Pelodiscus sinensis: one gene and its partners. The protein of the gene in region 2 purifies or fractionates together with the protein of the main gene of each other region. This does not show direct contact. Links are inferred from orthologs where the notes say so. Each region holds a gene or a part of one and is shown on either strand. Other genes may lie near its edges.

Region 1 (7,543 bases), on a different chromosome or scaffold from region 2:
CAAGTGTAAATTAAGTTCACAACTCCCTTGTAAGAACTGGTCTCACAAAAGGCAGACCAGCACTATTTGGCATCACAGATAAGAAAGAGAAATACGTGACCCCATGGGTATAAAGATGGGTACAGTAGCACACTCACTTTTGAGTGTTAATCTACCCTCTACCTGCTGGTCGGGTTAGGTGTTTGACCTCCCGAGGTTCTATGGGGACGCCCACCTCATATTTTCGTCTTTCCTAGGAATTGAGGGACCGGCTCTGGCATGATACGCTGGAGCCGAGAGGCACAGAAGGGGGTAAAAATTGTACCTGGATGTGGTCCTCTGTCTTAAGTGTACACAGACTAAGAGCTCTTTAAAGGTTAAGCTGTTACTTGGTACTATTATTTTTGTTTTTCCTATCTTTATCTTCTTTGTAACCATTTTTAATATCTATATTTTGCTAGCAGTTAAGAAATAGAACAATAGCCATTGCAAACATATGATTTATAAGCTTCCTCAATAAACCTGTAACTGTTTAAGCTTTAACCTGACTCCTTCAGTTGCTGTAACAGAACCAGGCACAATTTAAAAGAACTTCAGCCGGTCTTAAGGGACAGATATAGGGAGAGCTTGGGCATTTGGATTTGTGTCACTCCCAGGTGGCAGATCCGTTGGGGCACTCCTCAGCCTCCCCTAGGCTGCCCGCTGCGAAGGAATCACAGATTCTAGCAGCTAAAATCTGAAGTGTAATAAGCTCTCCCTGCAAACATATTGGGGCGCTCATAAACCTCCAGGTTGCCCGCTGCAAGGGACCCCAGTCTCAGCAGTTGAAGTCTCGGGTGTATAGCACACACACACACACACCACTCACTGCCCTGACGGTCGGCTGACAGGCAGTCAAAAAAGCAAACAAAATGCTGAGCATCATTAAGAACAGATAGAAAAAGAGAGAAAAAAATCTTATTGCCTCTATAGAAATCCATTGTACACACACATCTTGAATACTGCATGAAGATGTGGTTGCCTCACTGCAAAAAAGATATATTGGAATTGGGAAAAAAAAGCAGGGCTATGGAACAGGTGTTTTATGAGGAGAGATTAATAAAACTGGGATTTTTCAGCTTGGAAAACAGACAGCTATAAGGGGATATGATTTGGGTCTATAAAATCATGACTAGTGTGGAAAAATTGAATGAGAAATTATTTATTCCTTCCCATAACACAAGAACTAGGGGTCACCTAATAAAATTAATAGGTAGCAAGTTTAAAACAAACAAAAGGAAGTATTTTTTTTCCACACAGTCAACCGAAGAAACTCCCTCCCAGAGGATGCTGTGAAGGTCAAGACTATAGCTTTGTCTACACTGGCACATTTTATCACCAAAAGCTGCCTTTTGGCAATGAAACAATGAGAGCATTTACACTACAATGTGAATTTTGTCACCCAGTTTTGGCAACAAAAAAACTTCAGCCTTGTAAGAGATTTTTGTCTCTTCCCTTCCCTCTATTGTCAACATAGAGTCAGTGTGGACACTGTGGTTTGTTTTGTTGAAATGGCTTTCACCAGTATCCCACAATGCCTGACCTGATAGCTCTGTTCAGGCTTTTGCGATCTTTGCTGCCTGCATGCATACATCCTTCCACTTTCAAAACTCTGGCAAGTATGTGACAGGTCAATGAGCTTCACCATTTGGGGAACAAATAAAGAACAAATCATTGGAGTGATTCTGTTCTGCCCTGGTAGAAACATGGCATCAGGCAGACTGCTGCTACAGGGCTGGAGAGACTGCTGAGCTGCTTTGATATTCCTCAGCACAGACAGATCACAGAGTTAGGTGGGAATCCCAAGAAGTGCATGGATAAACTCTGCCTTCCCAAAACACTACACCGGGGTGTGTGTGTGTGCGTGCTTACCCACATCACTTTGTTTGTTAGTTGACAGGATACTAGCAGCGTGGACATAGAATAGCGACAATGGGAGACAGAAAAATTAGTTTGATTGGTTTTCACTTTTGTCACCAAACCATCTCCGTGTAGACCTCGCCTATAACCATGAGTGGCTGGTGAAGCTGGTGCTGGGGGAGGCAGGCACCCCCTCTGCTGAAACCTGGGAAGCACTCCCCAGAGAAGGGGCAACAGGCCAAACGCTCCCCAGCTTCCCCGGAGCACTGGGGATGGGGGATAAGAGGGGCAGCACCGAATGCTTCTCAGCCTCCCTGAAGCACCAAGGAGAGGAAGAGAGGGAAGGGGAGCACCAGGAGGGCAGGTGTTGAAGGCAGCAACACTCCGCTCCGAGATAGTCTTGGGGTGGAGTGTGGGTGGACCAAGCTGGTAGCTTGCCTAAGCCACCGGATGCCTGTGCCTATAACAGAGTTTTTACAAAGCGCTAGATAGATTCCTGGAGAACAGGCGCATCAATGGCGATTAGACAGGCTGGGCAGGGAGAGTGTCCCTAGCCTCGGTCACAAGCTGGGAAGAGGCGACAGGGGAGGGCTCGTGTCACGACCCCTGTTTCTGTTCACTCCCTTTGGGGCACCTGGCACTGGCCACTGGGCGGGATGGGCCTTTGCTCCGACGCCGCCTTCTTAGCTGCAGCCCCCCAAGCCCGGTCCCGCTGGGCCCCACAAAGCACCCGCGAGACCCCGCCCCGTCCAGCACCCCCCACCCTGCCGCCTCCGCCTGGGGCAGCCCCAGGTCGCAGGGCCCCGAGAGGGGCCTTGCCTCAGCCCCGGCTCCGGCCCCCCGCGGCACTCACGGGTTGTTGCCGCTCATGGTGAGCAGCAGCCCGCTGAGGAGCCGCACGTTGGAGTGGAGCCCCGCAGCCGCCATCTCCCGCACATGCTCCACCACGCTCATCCCGAAGCGCGGGGAGGCGCAGGGGGCGCCGGCCGGGGACGGAAGCGACAGCAGCTCCTCAGCCCGCAGCGACTCCAAAATGGCGCCACAGAAGGGGCCTCGCACACAGGGGTCCATTGCGCTTCTTCCGGTCGCCCGACCTCGTGCCTCCGTTTAAAAACCTCTCCGCTGGGGCTCCCCCAGGTAAATCCAGACCAGGTGTAAGCTTCCACCCCGCCGCTGAACGGATAGGCATCAAAGCAATGACATTTTCCATCAGGCATAAAAGTAGACGCCCCAGGAGCCTGAGGCACTTTACGCATGCGCAGGTGGCTCTGACGGCGCCTCGTGTCGCGGGCTAGCTCGCGGCGGAGCCCTTGCGGGGACCTCCCTGTTCCCGGCACAGTGAGGGGACAGTGACGTCACAGTGAATGCGATACCTGCTCGCACGCGCGTCGTGTCTGGGCCCGCCTGCTTCTTGTCCCTTCCATAAAGGAAGCGCTGCCATTGAGCCAGCAGGGGGCACTGCATTGGGCCTGGCCCCCAGGGTAGTTCAATCGCCGACAGAGTCCCAGCAGCGCTGCGCTCTCGCCGGGGTAGGCGGCAAGTCTTGGGCACGTTCCCTGTAGTTTAAGCTTAGGCGCGCCCAGTAATGCAGGGTGGGGAGCTCGGGCCCAGGGGCTGGAAGTGGACTCTGGCTTGTCTGGATCTGGTTCCCAAGGCTCCCCCCCAGCGTTTGAGAACATGCACTGGCAGCAGTTAGGGTTGCCAGATGGCTGAAACAATAATACCGACCCCCCCACACACACACCAAAAAAAAAACTGGAAACATTTTGTTGAAGGAAAGAAAAGGGGGGGGAGAACCAAAGTTGTTGAGAAAAAAAAGGGGGGGGTTTCCAAGAACCTGGATCACTGCTAGGGGTTACCAGGGAGTCATTTAAAAATAAAACGCTTCATGGGGGGGGGGGGAGAAGTACCGGCCAGGAAGGGAGCAGTGCTGGCCTGGAAGGGGGGTCCTGGAAACAACTAATGGGGGTTGCAACGGGGCTGGCCGGAGGAGATGGGGGAGGAAGCAGGGGGGATAGGGCAAAACGGGCCTGGCCGAGGGATATTGGGGGAGGAGGGGTGGGAAGTGCAGCTGGGGCGGATTGGGGGCCATGAGGAAGGGGGGCAGGAAGCAGCTGGCGGGGGTGGGATGTAGCGGCTCTAGCCGGGGGAGATCAGGAAGAGGAACAGGCTGTGGGAAGCAGAGCTGGGGGCGGGGCGGGGGCTGCGGGGCTGGCCCGGAGGAAGGGGGAGCAGGAAGCACAGCTGGCGGGGGGTGGTACAGTGGCGCTGGCCGGGAGGAAGGGGGGCAGGAAGCAGAGCTGGCAAGGGGAGGGATGCAGCGGCGCTGGCTGCGGGAGATCAGAAAGAGGAATGGGCCAGTGGGAAGCAGAGCTGGGGGATGGTGCAGAGGGCTGGCCGGGGAAGTGAGGGAGAACCAGCCAGGAAGGGGTGAGCAAATTGGCTGGCAGGGAGCGGGACTGACCTGGGCACTTGCTGCCTGTCCCGTGCAGGCTTCCCCTCCTCCTCACACTCAACCAACTGAGGGCTCCTGGCAGCAATCATGGCCCCGCCTCCCATCCGCTCCCCCCACCCATGCCAGGCTTCCGTCTGGTGCGCAGCTGGAAAAATCAAAAAATACCAGACATTGCACATGTCCGGTATTTTCTGATTTTTTTTACCGGACAGAGCGCGCAAATACCGGACTGTCCAGTACAATACCAGACACCTGGCAACCCTAGCAGCAGCCCCTGACTGCAGGGGGTCTGAGCTCCCCATGGACAGAAGCTGTTCCACCTCTGTCTGAGGGGAGCTCAGTCCCACCTCAGGTCTCCTGCTGAGGACTAGCCTCTGTCCATGGCAGGCTCAAGTTTACTGCAGAGAGAGGCTGCTCCATGGGAGGCTGAACAGCATCTGCCCCCAGGGAGTTCAGACCCCAATCCCTGCTGCCCATGGACCAAGGTTGCTTTGTGGCAGCCTTTCCATCCTCACCGCTGCAGCAGCCTCTGTCCATGGGACCTCCTACAGACAGTAGCTGTTGCCACCCCTCACTGCTGCCTCTTTATCAGAGGCTGCAAAGCAGGCTGGTAGGCAGCTGGTCCATGTGGGGATCTGTTTTTTAACTCCTGCCTGGCACCCCATGCTAGTGCCTCTGATACAGAGGCAGCAGCGCGGGTGTTGGGGGGTCCCCAGGAGTGGGACCAAGAGCACACTGGATGCTGGCCTCTCCCCTGGGGACTATAAAATAGTTGATAACCAACAGGATTTCATGACTCAACTATTCAATTAACTGATATCTCGCACACTAGCTGATATACAACCAACCTGTGCAGTTCCTTGTTAGGGTGTTGTGAAGGCCAGGACTGTTCAAAAACAGAGCTAGATAAATTCATGTAGGATAGGTCCATCAATAGCGATTAGCCAGGATGGGCAGAGATGGTGTTTGTCAGAAACTGGGAATGGGTGACAAGGGCTGGATCACTTGATGATTACCTGTTTTGTTCATTCCCTTGGGGCACCTGGAACTGGCCACTGTCAGAAGACAATATACTCGACTAGATGGACCTTTGATCTGACCCAGTATGGCTGTTCTTATGTGATGTTGACTTCTACCCATCACCCATGTTAAACTTGGAGCAGCATGGTGACAGTTTTTTGGAGGTGGGGAATTTCTTGCAGCTCTCCCTGATGTGGGACATTATAGTAGAAATGCAGGCAGCTAGCCCAGATCCCCCATACTTTTGGGGGCCCTGTGGAGGTCACCTCAACCATCTTAGGGATGGGAGTGACCAGGGAATTATGGGGACCTAGCATGGCAGCAGCAGGGGTTGCTCCCTCACAACAGCAGGAGTTGGAGCAGCCCAACAGCCTACTCCACTCCATCTTGCCACCTTCTTGCAGCCCGCTGCTCCCCATAGCAGAAGGAAGCAGACACCTGTAGCCCCAGGGTGGTGAGTAGGGGGAAAGATGACCCCTGCTGCTGCACACCAGGACCCCATAATCCTCCTGGGCTATGCTGGTCAGGGGGCAAGGGCAGGGCAGAGATGGGAGATGTGACGGAGGGTGCTGCCTCGGGCCCTCTCAGGATGGCCCTACAGAGATGGAGGAAGAGGCAAGTGTACATTGAAGAGGGGAGGGGAGTTGAGAGACACACAACGGCTGTGTCTAGACTGCATCCCTTTTCCGTAAAAGGGATGCAAATTAGACACATCGCAATTGCAAATGAAGCAGGGATTTAAATCCCCTCCGCTTCATTTGCATAAACATGGCTGCCGCTTTTTTCCGGCTCGGAGCTTTGCCGGAAAAAAGCACCAGTCTAGACGCGGATCTTTCAGAAAACAAAGCCTTTTCCGAAAGATCCCTTATTCCTTATTTTAATAAGGGATCTTTCGGAAAAGGCTTTATTTTCCGAAAGATCCACGTCTAGACTGGCGCTTTTTTCCGGCAAAGCTCCGAGCCGGAAAAAAGCGGCAGACATGTTTAGCGGAGGGGATTTAAATCCCCGCTTCATTTGCAATTGCAATGTGTCTAATTTGCATCCCTTTTACGGAAAAGGGATGCAGTTTAGACACAGCCAATGTGTAGCTGTCATGTGAAATGTCCCTTTAACATCTATATCCTAAACACCTATATCACCAGTTACCTTAATGCAACTTTCTACACCTTGTTCCACCAGGTAATATTATAGGCACAATAATCCTAACATGTTACAGTTTTTACTCAGGCAAAAGTCTCATTAAAGGGACTATAGTCTGCACCAAACTTCAGGATCAGGCCTCATATATTTTTTATTTTGTTACCAATCAAGAGGAGTTACATTTTAATGCAAGACTGGCATTCTAGAGCAGAGAGGTAGCATGAACTGGTGCTTAAGGTAGTGGACTAGAATGCAGAGTGAAATCCTGGACTCATTCACTGGAGTCAGGATCTCTTTCAAGGGTGCTACTTCTTGCTCCACTACTGACTTCCTATGAAGGGCTGGCTCTAGGTTTTTTGCTGCCCCAAGCAAAAACATTTTTGCCCTCCCCCACCCAAAAAAAACACCGGGAAAAAATTCTGTTGAAGGAAAAAAAAAAGTGTGGGGGGGAGACCAAAGTTGTTGAACAACAACAACAAAAAAATAAAACAGCATGTCCCCTTTAAGAGTGAGTGCAGGAATAGGAACAAGAGAGCAGTTGAGCACTAAGTCTCCTTGGTCTTTTGGCCGGCAGCCATTTTGTGCCAGCAGCCTAGCGACTGCCGGGGAGGGGAGGAGTAGGAGAGGAGACGAGGTGGCCAGCAGGCTCCAGGTGCACATTGGTGCCAGCTGGCTGCACAGCCACGGCGTTTCCCAGGCCGCAGCCCTTTAAAATCAGCAGGGCAGGGCTAGGCGTTGCCAGGGGCAGCGCCAGCTGCTTACCTGAAATGCTGCCCCAAGTACCTGCCTGATTTGCTGGTGCCTAGAGCCGGCCCTGTTCCTATGTGACCTTGGACAAGTCACTTCTTTCTCCTCTTATTGGATAGGTGTCTGGTCTACTTAACACTTTACACTCTTTAGGCCAGAGAATTTTTCTGCACAGTGCCTAGTACAATGGAATCTCAGTCTCCATTGGGTCTCTAGGCACTACATATGTTTGAATGTACTGAGCCATCAATCAACAGATCTCATCTTTTGTGATCCCATTGGTGAGGATTGGTTTATTCTCTC
Region 2 (7,970 bases):
AATGCGACAATAGAACACTCTCGGATTCTAAACAACAGACTACAGGATCGCGTGATATAGCCCAAGTCATATCAAATATCAAACTTCCAACGTAAAAAAACCTTCCAAACCAGGTTGCAAGGTGAAACTGCTGAACTGGAATTTATATGCAAATTTCATACCATCAGCATACCATAATCTCTCATTACAATCAGTAGTGTGGAGGCAGGAAAAGGGAGTAAGGGAGTTTGTGTGCAGCCATCTTGGTCTTGTTAGCAAGAGTCTGGGCAGAGGATCGGTGGGTAGGAGGGGTGCAGGCTCTTGGAGGGAGTTTGGATGCGGGAGGGGTTCAGGGTGCATGCTCTGGGAGGGAATGTGGATGAGGCCCGGATGCAGGCTCTGGCCTGGGGTGGGGGAGGAAGCCGCAGGAGGAGGCAGGCTCTGGGAGGCAGTTTGGAGCTTGGGGGCAGCACCAGGGTAAAGGGTGCCATGTTTACCTGGGAGGCACCACCCTCTGGCAGCAGCTCCTAGTGCACGGTGCTGCTCCCACTGCTCTTCCCGCCCCACCTGCCACTCACATGCCTTCCGCCCTGCGCATCCTTTGGTTCCTCCTGCTGCCCCTAGGTGAATTAACACACCCTGGAAGCCCCCATCAGCAGTGCAGCGGGGCTAGAGAGGCTTCCTGCCGCTCACTCTGCGTGGCTGCCAGCACCTCCGAGGGGCCTGGGAGGGTGGGGGGAGAAGAGTGGGTCTCTGTGCGCTGCTTGCAGTGGGGGCCCCCCCAAGGCATTTAAAATCACCCAGGGACAGCAGGCGGGGCTGGGGGGCAAGCATAGGGTGGCGGAACTCAGGGAGACCTGAGCCAGCAAACGCGAGGGGGAGGGGGGGAGCGCAGGCCCCTACAACTCGCCACCTTGCTGTAAGATACGCACAGGATTTCACTGAGCTGCTGGAACTGCTCCATGGCTGTGGGACACCAGCACTGCTCTCTCTTACTGCTGCAGCCCAGGCACTGCCGGCCGTCTCCTCCGTCCTCCGGATCGCTCTCTGGCTCGTTCTCACTCATGCTGCTCTCGCACGCCTTCACTCCGCCTTCACCCTTCTTCCCCTGGCGCATGTAAATCTTGAAGGTGCGGCTGTAGAACTGCTGGATCATCTCCTGGAACGTCTCGGTGGTGGTGAAGAAAAGGATGGCTTTGAACATGGTGTAGACTTTCTCTCGCAGCACCTGGGAGCCTGTTCCAAGGAGCAAGCCCATTCTGGTCCATTTTTCCAGAAGGTCCAAGCTGTTCAGATAAGGGTCGAGGCGGCACTTGAGCAGACAAAAGGCATCCAGGAGAAGCAAGGAGCACTGTGGCTCTTCCGCCGTGTTTTCATACTGGCCAATACAATTCCAGAATTCAGGAGCTATATTGGCCTGCAAGTCTGTCTGTAAAACTTCAGTGAACCATTCTTCCAGGACAGAGTGCAAGTCATAGCGCTGCAGCACTTCCACGGCCGCCTGCAAGTCACTGTCCTTCAGCAGCCCTGCTGAACCTGATCTGGGGCCTGCCTAAAGAGACACACCAAGTTAAACACAAGCCTGGGCACCTACAAATCACTGAGGCTGGGCTTTGCAAATCCACCTCAAAGAACAGCCAGCAGGCTATGGATGGAGCATGTCCCCCACTGGTATTTGGGTCACGTTTCAGGCGGCTGTAGGTTACCAACCACCTGCTGTTGGTGGAGAGGGTGGGGTCTCAATCCTGCTGATAGGAAGGTGTTCACATCATGAGCACCCACACCGTGACTGGCATCAACTGCTCCCCTTGCTGACAGCGGCCATGGGAGCTGTCAGGTGAGCAGCCTATTTATTGAAGAGCTCAAAGCCACAATGCCAGCCATTCAGTGCACAGAAGTTTCCATAATTTGCTCCCTCTAAACCAGCGAAAATACAGTGGCTCGGAACAGGCAGATTCAATTTGGAAACAATATGCATTTTCCTAGAAAATGTTAAGTGAATGAGCTTCCAAATTAGAACATTCTAAGAATAGGGGTGGCCCTGAATCCCTGCGGGGATCCCAAGGCTCCTCTCTTGCGACCATCTTTGACTTGGCAAGAACAAAAGCTAAGGCAATTCCCACACACCAGGGTGAGAATGCACTTAAAGGTGCGGGCAGACATCCATTCCTCTGGTTTGCGACCTTGCAAGAGCAATTGGATAGAAACAACATTGAGACCCCCAGGAAGTTCAGCCTTAAGTCTGCACTCAGAAGAGGTGCAAAGGCACCACCTTAAATCTGCTGCCCAAGTGATGCCCTAACAAAACTAGAAAATCGAGCTGCCTTATCTGCAACCAACACCCTCTCCGGGGCCCACCCGAACTGAACTGTCCTACGCACTTAGGGGTTCTCAGGACAAAAACGGGGCGGGGGGGTTGGGGGAAATGGCTGGGATCCGGGGTGGGGGGCACGGCTAGGCCTGTCTGCAGGGTGGGGGGCTGTCTGGGGCTGATTAGGAGGCCTGGAGGGAGGCTCCATCTGGGGGGGGGCTAAGGGGGCCTGCATGGGGGGGGCTGTGTGGGAGGAGGGGCTGCATGGGGGGGCCGTTTGGGGGGGCTGCATGGGGGGGCCGTGTGGGAGGAGGGGCTGCATAGGGGGTCCGTCAGGGGGAGAGACGGGGGTCTACATGGGGGGGCCGTGTGGGGAGGTCATCGGGGGGGAGACAGGGGGGTCCGAGGGGGGCTGCATGGGGGGTCCGTCGGGGGGGGAGACAGGGGTCTACATGGGGGAGCCGTCTGGGCGGGTATACATGGGGGGGGCCGTTTTGGGGGGCTGCATGGGGGGGGCCGTTTTGGGGGGGGCCGTCGGGGGGCGAGACGGGGGGGTCTACATGGGGGGTCCGAGGGGGGGCCTGCGGGGGGGCCGCTCTCACTCACCAGCCCCAGCGCGGCGGGCGGCACCAGGCCGGTGCTCAGCGCGTGCCAGGCCGCCGACAGCTCCGGGCCCGGCCCCGCCGCCATCCGGCCCGCGCGCCAGGGGCACGTGAGGCGGGGGCGGGGCGAGCGGGCGGGGGCGGAGCCGGGCGAGGGGCGGGGCGAGCGGGGCGGTTGGGGCGGGGCGGGGCGCGCGCCGGGCCGGGTTCGGGCCGCCATGACTCAGCAGGGGGCGGCGCTGCAGAGCTACAACAACGAGCTGGTCAAGTGTGAGCGGGGGGGGACCCGCGGGGGGGAGGGTGCGGGGGGGGCCGGCGGCCAGCCCCCCCCCCCAGCCCCGTGCGCTGCTCCCCGCCCTCTGTGCGCTGCGCCCCCCATGCACCCTGGCCCCCCCCGTCTGTTCTGTGCGCCGCCCCCATGCACCCCGCGCCCCCGTCTGCTCTGTGCGCCGCCCTCATGCACCCTGCCCCCCCGTGCGCCGCCCTCATGCACCCTGCCCCCCCGTGCGCTGCCCTCATGCACCCTGCCCCCCCGTGCGCCGCCCCCATGCACCCCCCGTCTGCTCTGTGCGCTGCCCCCATGCACCCTGCCCCCCCGTGCGCTGCCCTCATGCACCCTGCCCCCCCGTGCGCCGCCCCCATGCACCCCCCGTCTGCTCTGTGCGCCGCCCCCATGCAACCTGCCCCCCCGTGCGCCGCCCCCATGCACCCCCCGTCTGCTCTGTGCGCTGCCCTCCATGCACCCTGCCCCCCCGTGCGCCGCCCCCATGCACCCCGCGCCCCCCGTCTGCTCTGTGCGCCGCCCCCATGCACCCCGCGCCCCCCGTCTGCTCTGTGCGCCGCCCCCATGCACCCCGCGCCCCCCGTCTGCTCTGTGCGCCGCCCCCATGCACCCTGCCCCCCCGTGCGCCGCCCCCATGCACCCCCCGTCTGCTCTGTGCGCTGCCCTCCATGCACCCTGCCCCCCCGTGCGCCGCCCCCATGCACCCCGCGCCCCCCGTCTGCTCTGTGCGCTGCCCCCATGCACCCTGCCCCCCCGTGCGCCGCCCCCCTGCACCCTGCCCCCCCCGTGCGCCGCCCCCCATGCACCCCGCGCCCCCCGTCTGCTCTGTGCGCCGCCCCCATGCACCCCGCGCCCCCCGTCTGCTCTGTGCGCCGCCCCATGCACCCTGCCCCCCCGTGCGCCGCCCCCATGCACCCCGCGTCTGCTCTGTGCGCTGCCCCCATGCACCCTGCCCCCCCGTGCGCTGCCCTCATGCACCCTGCCCCCCCGTGCGCCGCCCCCATGCACCCCCCGTCTGCTCTGTGCGCCGCCCTCATGCACCCTGCCCCCCCGTGCGCCGCCCCCATGCACCCCCCGTCTGCTCTGTGCGCTGCCCCCATGCACCCTGCCCCCCCGTGCGCTGCCCTCATGCACCCTGCCCCCCCGTGCGCCGCCCCCATGCACCCCCCGTCTGCTCTGTGCGCTGCCCCCATGCACCCTGCCCCCCCGTGCGCTGCCCTCATGCACCCTGCCCCCCAGTGCGCCGCCCCCATGCACCCCCCGTCTGCTCTGTGCGCCGCCCCCATGCACCCTGCCCCCCCGTGCGCCGCCCCCATGCACCCCCCGTCTGCTCTGTGCGCCGCCCCCATGCACCCCCCGTCTGCTCTGTGCGCCGCCCCCATGCAACCTGCCCCCCCGTGCGCCGCCCCCATGCACCCCCCGTCTGCTCTGTGCGCTGCCCTCCATGCACCCTGCCCCCCCGTGCGCCGCCCCCATGCACCCCGCGCCCCCCGTCTGCTCTGTGCGCCGCCCCCATGCACCCCGCGCCCCCCGTCTGCTCTGTGCGCCGCCCCCATGCACCCCGCGCCCCCCGTCTGCTCTGTGCGCCGCCCCCATGCACCCTGCCCCCCCGTGCGCCGCCCCCATGCACCCCCCGTCTGCTCTGTGCGCTGCCCTCCATGCACCCTGCCCCCCCGTGCGCCGCCCCCATGCACCCCGCGCCCCCCGTCTGCTCTGTGCGCTGCCCCCATGCACCCTGCCCCCCCGTGCGCCGCCCCCCTGCACCCTGCCCCCCCCGTGCGCCGCCCCCCATGCACCCCGCGCCCCCCGTCTGCTCTGTGCGCCGCCCCCATGCACCCCGCGCCCCCCGTCTGCTCTGTGCGCCGCCCCATGCACCCTGCCCCCCCGTGCGCCGCCCCCATGCACCCCGCGTCTGCTCTGTGCGCTGCCCTCCATGCACCCTGCCCCCCCGTGCGCCGCCCCCATGCACCCCGCGCCCCCCGTCTGCTCTGTGCGCTGCCCCCATGCACCCTGCCCCCCCAGTGCGCCGCCCCCCATGCACCCCGCGCCCCCCGTCTGCTCTGTGCGCCGCCCCCATGCACCCTGCCCCCCCGTGCGCCGCCCCCATGCACCCCCCGTCTGCTCTGTGCGCCGCCCCCATGCACCCTGCCCCCCCGTGCGCCGCCCCCATGCACCCCCCGTCTGCTCTGTGCGCTGCCCTCCATGCACCCTGCCCCCCCGTGCGCCGCCCCCATGCACCCCGCGCCCCCCGTCTGCTCTGTGGGCTGCCCCCATGCACCCTGCCCCCCCGTGCGCCGCCCCCATGCACCCCGCGCCCCCCGTCTGCTCTGTGCGCTGCCCCCATGCACCCTGCCCCCCCGTGCGCCGCCCCCATGCACCCCCCGTCTGCTCTGTGCGCTGCCCTCCATGCACCCTGCCCCCCCGTGCGCCGCCCCCATGCACCCCGCGCCCCCCGTCTGCTCTGTGCGCTGCCCCCATGCACCCTGCCCCCCCGTGCGCCGCCCCCATGCACCCTGCCCCCCCGTCTGCTCTGTACGCTGCCCCCCATGCACCCTGCCCCCCCGTGCGCTGCCCCCCATGCACCCTACCCCCCGTCTGCTCTGTGCGCTGCCCCCATGCACCCTACCCCCCCGTGCGCTGCCCCCCATGCACCCTGCCCCCCATCTGCTCTGTGCGCTGCCCCCCATGCACCCCGCGCCTGCTCTGTGCGCTGCCCCCCATGCACCTGCCCCCCGTGCGCTGCCCCCCATGCACCCTACCCCCCCGTGCGCTGCCCCCATGCACCCCGCGCCTCCCGCCTGCTCTGTGCGCTGCCCCCCATGCACCTGCCCCCCGTGCGCTGTCCCCCATGCACCCTGCACCCCCCATGCGCTGCACCCCACGCCCCCGTCTGCTCTGTGCGCTGCCCCCCCATGCACTCTGCCCCCCCGTGCGCCTCCCCCCATGCACCCCGCGCCCCTCGTCTGCTCTGTGCACTGCCCCCATGCATCCTGCCCCCCTCTGTGCGCTGCCCCCATGCACCCTGCACCCCCCCTCTGCTCTGTGCACTGCCCCCCTATGCACCCTGTGCCCGCTCTGTGCACTGCATCCCCTCCCTCCCCATACTCCCCCACACTCTCTGCACTGGCCAGGTGGGCCCCACCTCCCCGTGCAGGGAGGCCATGCAGGTGCCTCAGGACATGTCTCGCCTGCGTGCGTGCTAGAGGGATGGGCCCTGAGCCCCTGGCCACAGTTGGCCCTGACTCGCCTCCTGCCCCAGGTATCGAGGAGCTGTGCACCAAGCGGGATGAGCTGAGCCAGCAGATCCAGCACGAGGAGGAGGAGAAGAGCAAGCTGCAAAACGACATCCGGCTCCTGACCGAGAAGCTGGCCCGCGTCAACGAGAGCCTGGCTCGCAAGATGGCCACCCGCAACGAGTTTGAGAAAACCATCGTCGAGACTGAGGCCGCCTACACGAAGGTATCTGGCCGCCGGGGGCTGGATTTCTCCAAGGCAGCTGCCCGATGCGTGGGGGGTTGGGTGGTACTGCCGAAGAGGCATGGCGTCTCTCCAGTTAGCAAGGCCTCGTGTAGAACCAGCTCTGAACTGCAATCAAAAGGCCAGGGAAAGCAGGGCTTTGTGGTGTGGCTGAACCAGAACTAGGTTCAACTCACTCGGCCAAAATCCTGTGGTCATTTACAAAAGTGAGTTGAAAGGTGCCACTGCACGTGGGGGCTGCCTTCCTGGGTATGGCACTTCCCACCCTGGGGAGCACTTAGCTAAGGCCTTTCCACAGCTCTCCCAAAAAGGGTACTGCTGTGAGAAAACCACACCAGGCACTGCACATGGGACCTCCAGCCCCTACCACGGCCCTCTGCCACTTGGCTGCGTTGCGGGGGGACATTGGGAACTGGGATTCTTGGCCTCTCCTCCTGGTTCTGGAAGAGCACTAGGGCCTAGTGGTTAGAATGACTGCTAGAGACAGGGTAAGCAAGCAGGGGCTTGGCACATTCGTTTCAGAAGGCAGTTTGGGTGAGGCTTAGGGGTTCGAGTTGGTGGTTTTGATTCCAGCTCCACCCAAAGTGCCCTTGTGCAACCTCAGATTTCTTTCTTCTCTGTAAAATTGCAGTTCTTTGAGAGCCTCCTGCATTGCCTTGTAGACTCTCAGCTCCAATCCCAGTGCATCATCTCTCTTCTTCCGGTCCGTCACCGCCCACTGGCATTCCGTTCATGGCACACAGTGCCTTAGCAAAGCCTGGGCCTAGCACAGCCTCATGGCCCCAGGGAGGACTGGCTGCCCTCTCCTACAAGACAGAATCTTGGGGGGGGGGGGAGTAAGATGCAGTGATCTCCCCAGGGAACACTTCAGAGCAGGGGCAAGGCTCTGTGGTTGTGTTGTATGGGAAGTGTCGCCTTTGCTGCTGCAGTGCTTGAGTTTTGCCAGCACACGTCTCCCATTCTGGAAAGGGTGTGAGGAGCACAGGGCCGTGCTGAATACCAAGGCTTGAGAAACCCCCTCAACAGGAGCTAGAGAGGGGAGGGCCTTTTCTTTTCAAGCGTGTGGACTGAGGGCAGGGGCCAGACCTGCAGAGAGTTGAGGATGGGGAAGGTAACTGGGGCATAGCCTGGGTCACTGCTCTCCAACAGAGCCCAGAACTTTGGCCTCTCCACAGTAAGGATGTTAACTAACAAGTAATTTACTAGTTGAATAGTCGATGGAATTTCCATTGATTACTTGACAGGCACTTCTGCATTCCTCCTTTGAAATGTACAGGAGCCCCCAGCTCCCCCTGGGGGTGGGCCAGGGACCAGAACC
Region 3 (7,333 bases), on a different chromosome or scaffold from region 2:
TAGCATGCCTCTTCCGAAGAAGGGGCCAGTGTGGACGTAGCCTAAAGGTAGTCAATAGATTTCCTAAGTCAGGAATTGCTCTGATAGGACCAGGGACTATGTCTTGATCTCAGAAGTAATAGTTACATGCAAATACTAACAACCCATGCTAAAAATCTTGGAACCAGCTACTCTTTATATAGGGAAATGGCTAAAACGCAGGAAGATTTTTCTCCTTTTCTGTTTATCACTGAAGAAGCAAAGCACACAGAGCTAAATCCTGTCTCTGCAATTGTAGAGCCAGAGGAACATTTGCATGCTTGAAATCTTGTACATGCAGCACTGCATGCAATTTCCAACCGGAGACACAACCAAGGGGGGTGGGTATACTAAGATGTCTATAAAATCATGACTGGTGTGGAGAAAGTAAATAAGGAAGTGCTATTACTCCATCCTATAACACAGGAACTAGATTCTAGTCCTAGTTATCACAGTACAGTTTTTCTCATCTTACCAGCCCTGTTTATCTGCATTAGCTTTTTCAAAACTTGCAATATCTGCTTGACAATATTCAGAACAGAACTACTACTGATGTCCTGCTACTTAAATACAACAATATATCATAGGGTTAGTTTTTGTCAACACTTTGGATGAAAGAAAATAGCCATCCTTCTATCTGACTCGTCTTTAGGAGTGATTGTAAAGTGCCATCCAGTGGAAATTTGGTATAGCTACAGTGTGACGCAAAATAGCAGTGTAGCTTCAAGCCATTGGCTACGTCTACACTGGCCCCTTTTCCGGAAGGGGCATGTAAATTTCATGAGTCGTAGTAGGGAAATCCGCGGGGGATTTAAATATCCCCCGCGGCATTTAAATAAAAATGTCCGCCGCTTTTTTCCAGCTTTTAAAAAAGCCGGAAAAGAGCGTCTACACTGGCCCCGATCCTCCAGAAAAAGCACCCTTTTCCGGAGGCTCTTATTCCTACTTTGAATAGGAGGATCGGGGCCAGTGTAGACGCTCTTTTCCGGCTTTTTTAAAAGCCGGAAAAAAGCGGCGGACATTTTTATTTAAATGCCGCGGGGGATATTTAAATCCCCCGCGGATTTCCCTACTACGACTCATGAAATTTACATGCCCCTTCCGGAAAAGGGGCCAGTGTAGACGAGCCCCCTATGTTTAGTACCTGTGGCCAAGATGTTCTGAAATAAATGTCTTAAGTTAGACTTAAATCCATATTTAGGTACCCAATAAATAGTATGACTTTCAAACAAATTGAAATTACAGCAGCTGCTAGGTGCCCCATACTTTTTAACATAGGCTGTATAAGGGTGCCTGAACATAGTTTAAGCACTTGATTTTAAGGAGTCATTTTTGAAAATCCAGCTATTTAACATTAAGGACCAATGGCCTAATACAATACCAAACAAAGTTAATTGGAAAAGCGACAAGGAGTTGCACCTTATAGACTAAGAGATGTATTGGAGCATTTGATGAAGTGGGTCTTTGCCCACAAAAGCTTATGCTCCAATACATCTGTTAGTCTGTAGGGTGCCACAGGACTCCTTGTCGCTTTTACAGATTCAGACGAACACGGCTACTTCTCTGAAAGTTAATTGGACTTGTTCCATTGTTTTCAATGGACCTTGGATAAGTCTCCAAATTCTGCCCCCAGTTGCGTTTGTACAATTAAAAGAGACATAGATCAAATTTGTCCCCATATTTATAAAACGTTACTCCAATATGAATTTTTCCAGCAAAATAAAAAAAGTCAGTTTTTAAACCAGGAGTGGGGAATCTCTCTCTCTCTCTCTCTCTTTTTTTTTTGTTTTGTTTTGTTTTTGTTTTGTTTTGTTAGTGACTACTGACCCAAAGAAAAATCACTCAGGGGCCACACTCACTGGCCATGGAAGGAAGGAAGGAAAAAAAACTAACTTAAAGGTCTGATCTGTTCTACAGCTTCCCTTGAGGCTCTGGGCATCCCTTCCCCCTGCAGCAGGGTGAACCAGCACTAGTGCTCCAGTTCCATGGGTGGGTAATGCCAAGGCAGTGAGACTTACAGTGGGGCTGGAGCACTAGTGCTGTTTTATCCCACTGTGAGGGAGAAGGGCAACCTCAAGCTTTGCTGCGGGTGAGATCAAGGGAAGCCGGGGGCCAGATCTGGCCCATGGGCTAGATTCGACCAATAGGCCATAAGTTCCCCAAACCTGGAAAATAAAAGTGCCTGTTGTGGTTTATCATTCCATACTAAGTCTAGCCTAACAGTTAAATATACTGAGCACCTACAGTATCTCTTCAGTAGGAGTTGTGGGTGGTCAGATGTTTGCAGGATCAGATCCTTGATGAGGGTTCACTACTGTGATAGGTTTTCAGAGCTGAATGACTTTGAAATTAAAATGTAGCACCTACATGTTAACGTGTATCACAAAACTGCTTCAAACTCGCCAAGAATAAGGCAAAGTTGTAAATTAGCCAAATACTTAAATTTATGTTGTTATTTCTATAGTGCCATAGGTGTGTAGACACTTTACAGGCCTCAAAGTAGACATTGCTGCAGACTACCATCAATTTCTGAAGACAGTATGGCAGAACTAGGAGGCTAGAGGTGATCGGGCAAGCTCTTAGGTTGTTTTGTTTACTATACATTGGGTCTGAATCTCCTTCCATTTACATAGGTGTATGTCGGGAAATATTTCACTAAAATCACTGGATTATACTAGTCCTATTGGCCCACCCACATCTAAAGGACCACCCCCTAGCCAACAGGAAGGGACCACAGAGCCCAGAATACCAAATAATTACTGGGGACAAATAAAAAGAAAACAGGGACGGATGTGGTGGTCATAGGGTCAAAATGAGGGAGCTGGATGGGGACACTGAGCAGAGAACAGCGCCCATTGCCCTTCAAAGGTCTCAAGAGAGCCAGCGGATCTCGCTCTGCCTGGATTCATGAACAGATGCAGGAGAGGAAGTAGGCCCCACAGTCGCAAGCCCCTCCCTCAGCCAACCTCTACTCCCTGGTTTTGTAAGTTGCCATCTTGTAAGAGCCAGGAGGAGGTTGAGAAGGAGGTTGTGCGACTTTGTGGGGCCACAGATGGGGTGTGCATAAATTAATAAGTGAGGGGTGAAGTGCAGCCAGAAACTCAAGAGGTTCTGGCGGAGCCAAAAGAGGGACTGTAATCTGGAGCACTCGCTGCAGTTATACTGGTATAAGAAAGGTAGTGTGTAGGGAGGGTCGGTGCTGGGCTGTGAACATTGGGACAGAGTTGGGTGGGACCTTGTGGACAATGCTACGTGTGTGTAAGGAGGGGTTAGGGGTTGTGGTTGATCTGGTCCAGGGGCAGCTTTAGCATGGATACATGGGTTCACCTGTACCCACAGAAATTATAAAAGCAGGGTGCACAAACAAGCAAATATACACTTCTTTCAGCGCAGATGAGAGGCCGTGAGGGGAGATGGGGGAGGGTCATGGTGTGCTGAAGTGTTGGCCTGAAACCACACTCTCCTAGCAGTGGTGGTTCCTATCCTGTGTGGCTGGACCCAGCTCTCTACTCCATGTGCTGCATCCTGTTGCAACACCACTCACTCAAATTTGGTCTGACCAGGTCAAACCTGACCAGTGTTGTGTGACCCTATGTACTTGATCAGAAGCCTGAAGCAGGGTTTTGGGTCCCACTTCTGGGGGGGAAGCCACTGTTGTGTGAAAGGTTTGGGAGGAGAGCTTCTCTCACCAGCCACCCCTCTGAGAGCCTGGAAAAGTCCCAGAGCAGGGTTAGAGGATGTTGCTGCAGGTGGCTGGTGCCCCCTTAACAGGTTATATCAGAGGTCCCCAAATTTTTCAGGGTCACCCCCTCCTTATCCTTGTCTGCCCCACCTCCCCCTGCCAGGTACTAGTGGGGTGACAGCTGGAGCACCAAGTGAGCGGTGGGGCCAGAGCAGTGGGGCTGGTGATGCACCTTCCCAGCCCACAGTGGCTGCTGTACCCCTCCCCGTTCCTCAGCACCCCCCCTTTAGGGGAGCATTCCTCACACTTTGAGGACCTCTATTTTACACAGCCAATACACCCATTTCAACCCTGGGCAGGCCATGAGCACCGAGTGGAGGAGGGGGGCAGTGGAGAGGCAGCAATAAGAGGATGGGGACGCAGTGGTGGAGACAGCATGGGCGGCAGCGATGAGCTGGGGGGGCAATAGCTTAGTGGGCTGTCTGTGGCGACGGAGCTGTGGGAGGCGTGGCAGGACAGTGGGGCAGGTGGTGAGGGATGTGGTGGGGGTGGCCGTTGGTACGGTACTGCGGGCAGGCGTTGGGTGGAAGATCACAGCCCGGGAGAAGTGTCCGTCTGCTCCTGAGAAGCAAAGGCAGGAAATGGGGCAGTTGTCTGCCGGAACTATACGAAAAAAGGGGCGGAGCTGTCTCCCCATCTTCCCTCGCGCCGCCGTGGTTGCTTAGCAGTCGTAACGGCCGTTACAATGACGTAAATTGTTTACAACGGAATAGCCAATGGGCGGACTGAAGGTGTGGGCGGAGCTGCTGTGCGGGGCCAATGACCAGCGGGGGCGGCGCGTTTAAACGACAGCGACAGGCAGCACCGCTACGGTGGTGCCGTTGGCCGGGATTCAACGTGTCGTGACGCCATGCCGAGCCGGCCTGAGGATTACGAGGTGCTGCTCACCATCGGCGCCGGTTCCTATGGGAAGTGCCAAAAGGTGCTGCGCCGGGTGGACGGCAAGGTGAGTAGCAGGGCAGCTCGGGCCCCGCTGAGTGCGACGATCTCTGGCGTCCTCATGCTGAGAAGTCCCATTCCCCGCCGCTGCCCGTAATGCCCGACATCTGTTCTCAGCGCCTCTGGCTGCGCGCTGTGTGACGGGTCCTGGTTTTAGCTCAGTCGGGTGGGGGGATCTCAAACTTCCTTGCACTGCGACCTCTGACACAGAAATTACTGCTCCATTCTCAGGAGAGGCCTGGTTCCTAACAAGGCTGAAGCCAACTCTGTGGTAATGCTGTTATAATGGGGTCGTGATTAATGTTCCCCCTAATCTTTACCAACCATATCCAAAATAAAATATGTGCACAGAGGCAAGTGGTTATGTGTGCCACCAATGGAAACCTAAAACAGCTGTGGGTGTTCTATCTAGTAAGCAAAATGCAGGACAATGTAGCACTTTAAAGACTAACAAGATGGTTTATTAGATGATGAGCTTTCGTGGGCCAGACCCACTTCCTCAGATCAAATAGTGAAAGAAAGTAGTCACAACCATATATACCAAAGGATACAATTAAAAAAATGAACAAATATGAAAAGGACAAATGACATTGCAGAACAGAAGGGGGATGCGGGGGGGGGGGGAGGAAGGAAGGTAAGTGTGCAGAACAGAAGGGGGATGCGGGGAAGGGGGAGGAAGGAAGGTAAGTGTCTGTGAATTGCTGATATTAAAGGTAGGGAGAGTGGGATGTTTGTGAGTTAATGGTATTACAGGTGATAATTGTAGTATCTATCTAGTAAGCAGATGGACTGCACTTAAATCTCAACTGAGTGGTTTGAAAGCACGTAGTTTACAGGGGATGTTGATCAGAGATGTTTGAATGTAAATGACTATCTGCTTAACTGATAATGGGTGCTAAGTTATGGGTTACACTGGGGGAAGCCTCCTCCCTGTCAGCCTGGAGAGCAAGGGCAGCCAGCTCCTCCAGGGGAGGAGGCATCCCTGCAGTAGCAAAGAGGCCTTCTAGGGAGCTGGGGTGGGTGGCCCTTCTCCCAGGGAAGCTTTGCTTCAGGCTCTGTAGAATAAAGCTAAACTTTATACTGAAGAGTCCACAACCTGAGTAACTATAGAACTGCTGAGGCTTTCAGTGGTTACACAGTTACCCTAATTCATCATTACATTCCTTAGTCCTGACCCTCATGTTTGGAGAACTGCTGTTCTAGCTTATCAAGCTCAACTAGTTGATCAATTAGCTTGGCTTGGCTTTATAAGCCATTCCTAAAGAAAGCATTAGTGTTTTAGTCATTTTGTAAACTGTTTTTCAGGTCTTAGTTTGGAAAGAGCTTGACTATGGCTCTATGACAGAAGCAGAGAAACAAATGCTTGTTTCAGAAGTGAATTTGCTCCGGGAGCTGAAACATCCAAATATTGTCCGATATTATGATCGCATTATTGACAGAACCAATACAACCCTCTACATTGTGATGGAATATTGTGAAGGAGGTGACCTGTCTACTTTAATTGCAAGATGTACAAAGGAAAGGCATGTGAAATCTGTTTATGGGACTCTTGTGCTCTCCCATCTAAATAACGGGATCATTTACCAGAATTAAGCCAAATCAAAATGCATCTCCTTGTAATCAATTAGAATCTTAGGTTTGATAAAAAATTAATCACAGATTTCTAAATTTTTGTACGAAGGAATTGCGTGGGGTGCATAAAGTTTTTGTGAAAAAAATTGCCAGCTTGAATGGCCGCTTGAATTTGCTCAAGAGCACTGACTTTGTAATGTACAAAATCAGTGCTTCTTGCGTAAAAGCTTTCACGCTCCCGCTTGGGGGGGGGGGGAGCCCAAGAATACCTGCACAAGAGGGCCAGTGTAGACAGGGAAGAACTGTTTTGTGCAAAAAAGCCCCGATGGCTAAAATGGTGATTGGGGCTTTCTTGCGCAAAATCGCATCTAGACTGGCCACGGATGCTTTTGTGCAAAAGCACTTTTTGTGCAAAGGCATCTGTGCCAATCTAGATGTGCTTTTGCAGAAATACTTTTAACGGAAAAACTTTTCCATTAGGCTGTGTCTAGACTGCATCCCTTTTTTCATAAAAGGGATGCAAATTAGATACATCGCAATTGAAAATGAAGTGGGGATTTAAATCTCCCCTGCTTCATTAACATAAAAATGGCTGCCTCTTTTTTCCGGCTCGGCGCTTTGCCGGAAAAAAGCGCCAGTCTAGATGTGGATCTTTTGGAAAATAAAACCTTTTCCAAAAGATCCCTTATCTTAAAATGAGGGATAAGGGATCTTTCGGGAAAAGGGTTTATTTTCCGAAAGATCCGCATCTAGACTGGCGCTTTTTTCCGGAAAAAAGCGACAGCTTTTTTCATGCTAATGAAGCGGGGGAGATTTAAATCCCTGCTTCATTGGCAATTGTGGTGTGTCTAATTTGCATCCCTTTTACGGAAAAGGGATGCAGTCTAGACACAGCCCCAAAGTATTTCTGCAAAATCATGCCAGTGTAGAATAAAAATCAAAGCCAGCCTTAAAGTGTAGGGTTCAGGTATAGTTTAGTGGAAGCTGTGATAGAATGACTTCTACTGATAAAATACAGAAAGATAGTTTGCATGTACAGTAATAGTCTTTATTGCATTCCCT

The links. Proteins that work in one complex are often made in the same cells at the same time.
Region 1: the proteins of ANAPC2 (region 2) and ANAPC7 fractionate together in Homo sapiens (co-fractionation; 6 studies listed by BioGRID and IntAct, with this or other methods). This does not show direct contact. The link is inferred for Pelodiscus sinensis from reciprocal best matches to the Homo sapiens genes ANAPC2 and ANAPC7.
Region 3: the proteins of ANAPC2 (region 2) and NEK2 purify together in Homo sapiens (affinity purification with mass spectrometry; 4 studies listed by BioGRID and IntAct, with this or other methods). This does not show direct contact. The link is inferred for Pelodiscus sinensis from reciprocal best matches to the Homo sapiens genes ANAPC2 and NEK2.

The regions. Positions count from the first base shown.
Region 1 is NC_134725.1:32,240,276-32,247,818, reverse strand, and holds the start of ANAPC7 (anaphase-promoting complex subunit 7), read right to left. Parts: upstream 3,001-7,543; 5' UTR 2,950-3,000; coding exon 2,732-2,949; intron 1-2,731. UniProt on the Homo sapiens protein: Component of the anaphase promoting complex/cyclosome (APC/C), a cell cycle-regulated E3 ubiquitin ligase that controls progression through mitosis and the G1 phase of the cell cycle.
Region 2 is NC_134732.1:2,396,886-2,404,855, forward strand, and holds the start of ANAPC2 (anaphase-promoting complex subunit 2), read right to left. Parts: upstream 3,018-7,970; 5' UTR 2,981-3,017; coding exon 2,897-2,980; intron 1,532-2,896; coding exon 912-1,531; intron 1-911. Other genes in the region: microtubule nucleation factor SSNA1, read left to right, coding at 3,111-3,162, 6,435-6,634. UniProt on the Homo sapiens protein: Together with the RING-H2 protein ANAPC11, constitutes the catalytic component of the anaphase promoting complex/cyclosome (APC/C), a cell cycle-regulated E3 ubiquitin ligase that controls progression through mitosis and the G1 phase of the cell cycle.
Region 3 is NC_134713.1:146,536,409-146,543,741, reverse strand, and holds the start of NEK2 (serine/threonine-protein kinase Nek2), read left to right. Parts: upstream 1-4,333; 5' UTR 4,334-4,610; coding exon 4,611-4,706; intron 4,707-6,004; coding exon 6,005-6,222; intron 6,223-7,333. UniProt on the Homo sapiens protein: Protein kinase which is involved in the control of centrosome separation and bipolar spindle formation in mitotic cells and chromatin condensation in meiotic cells.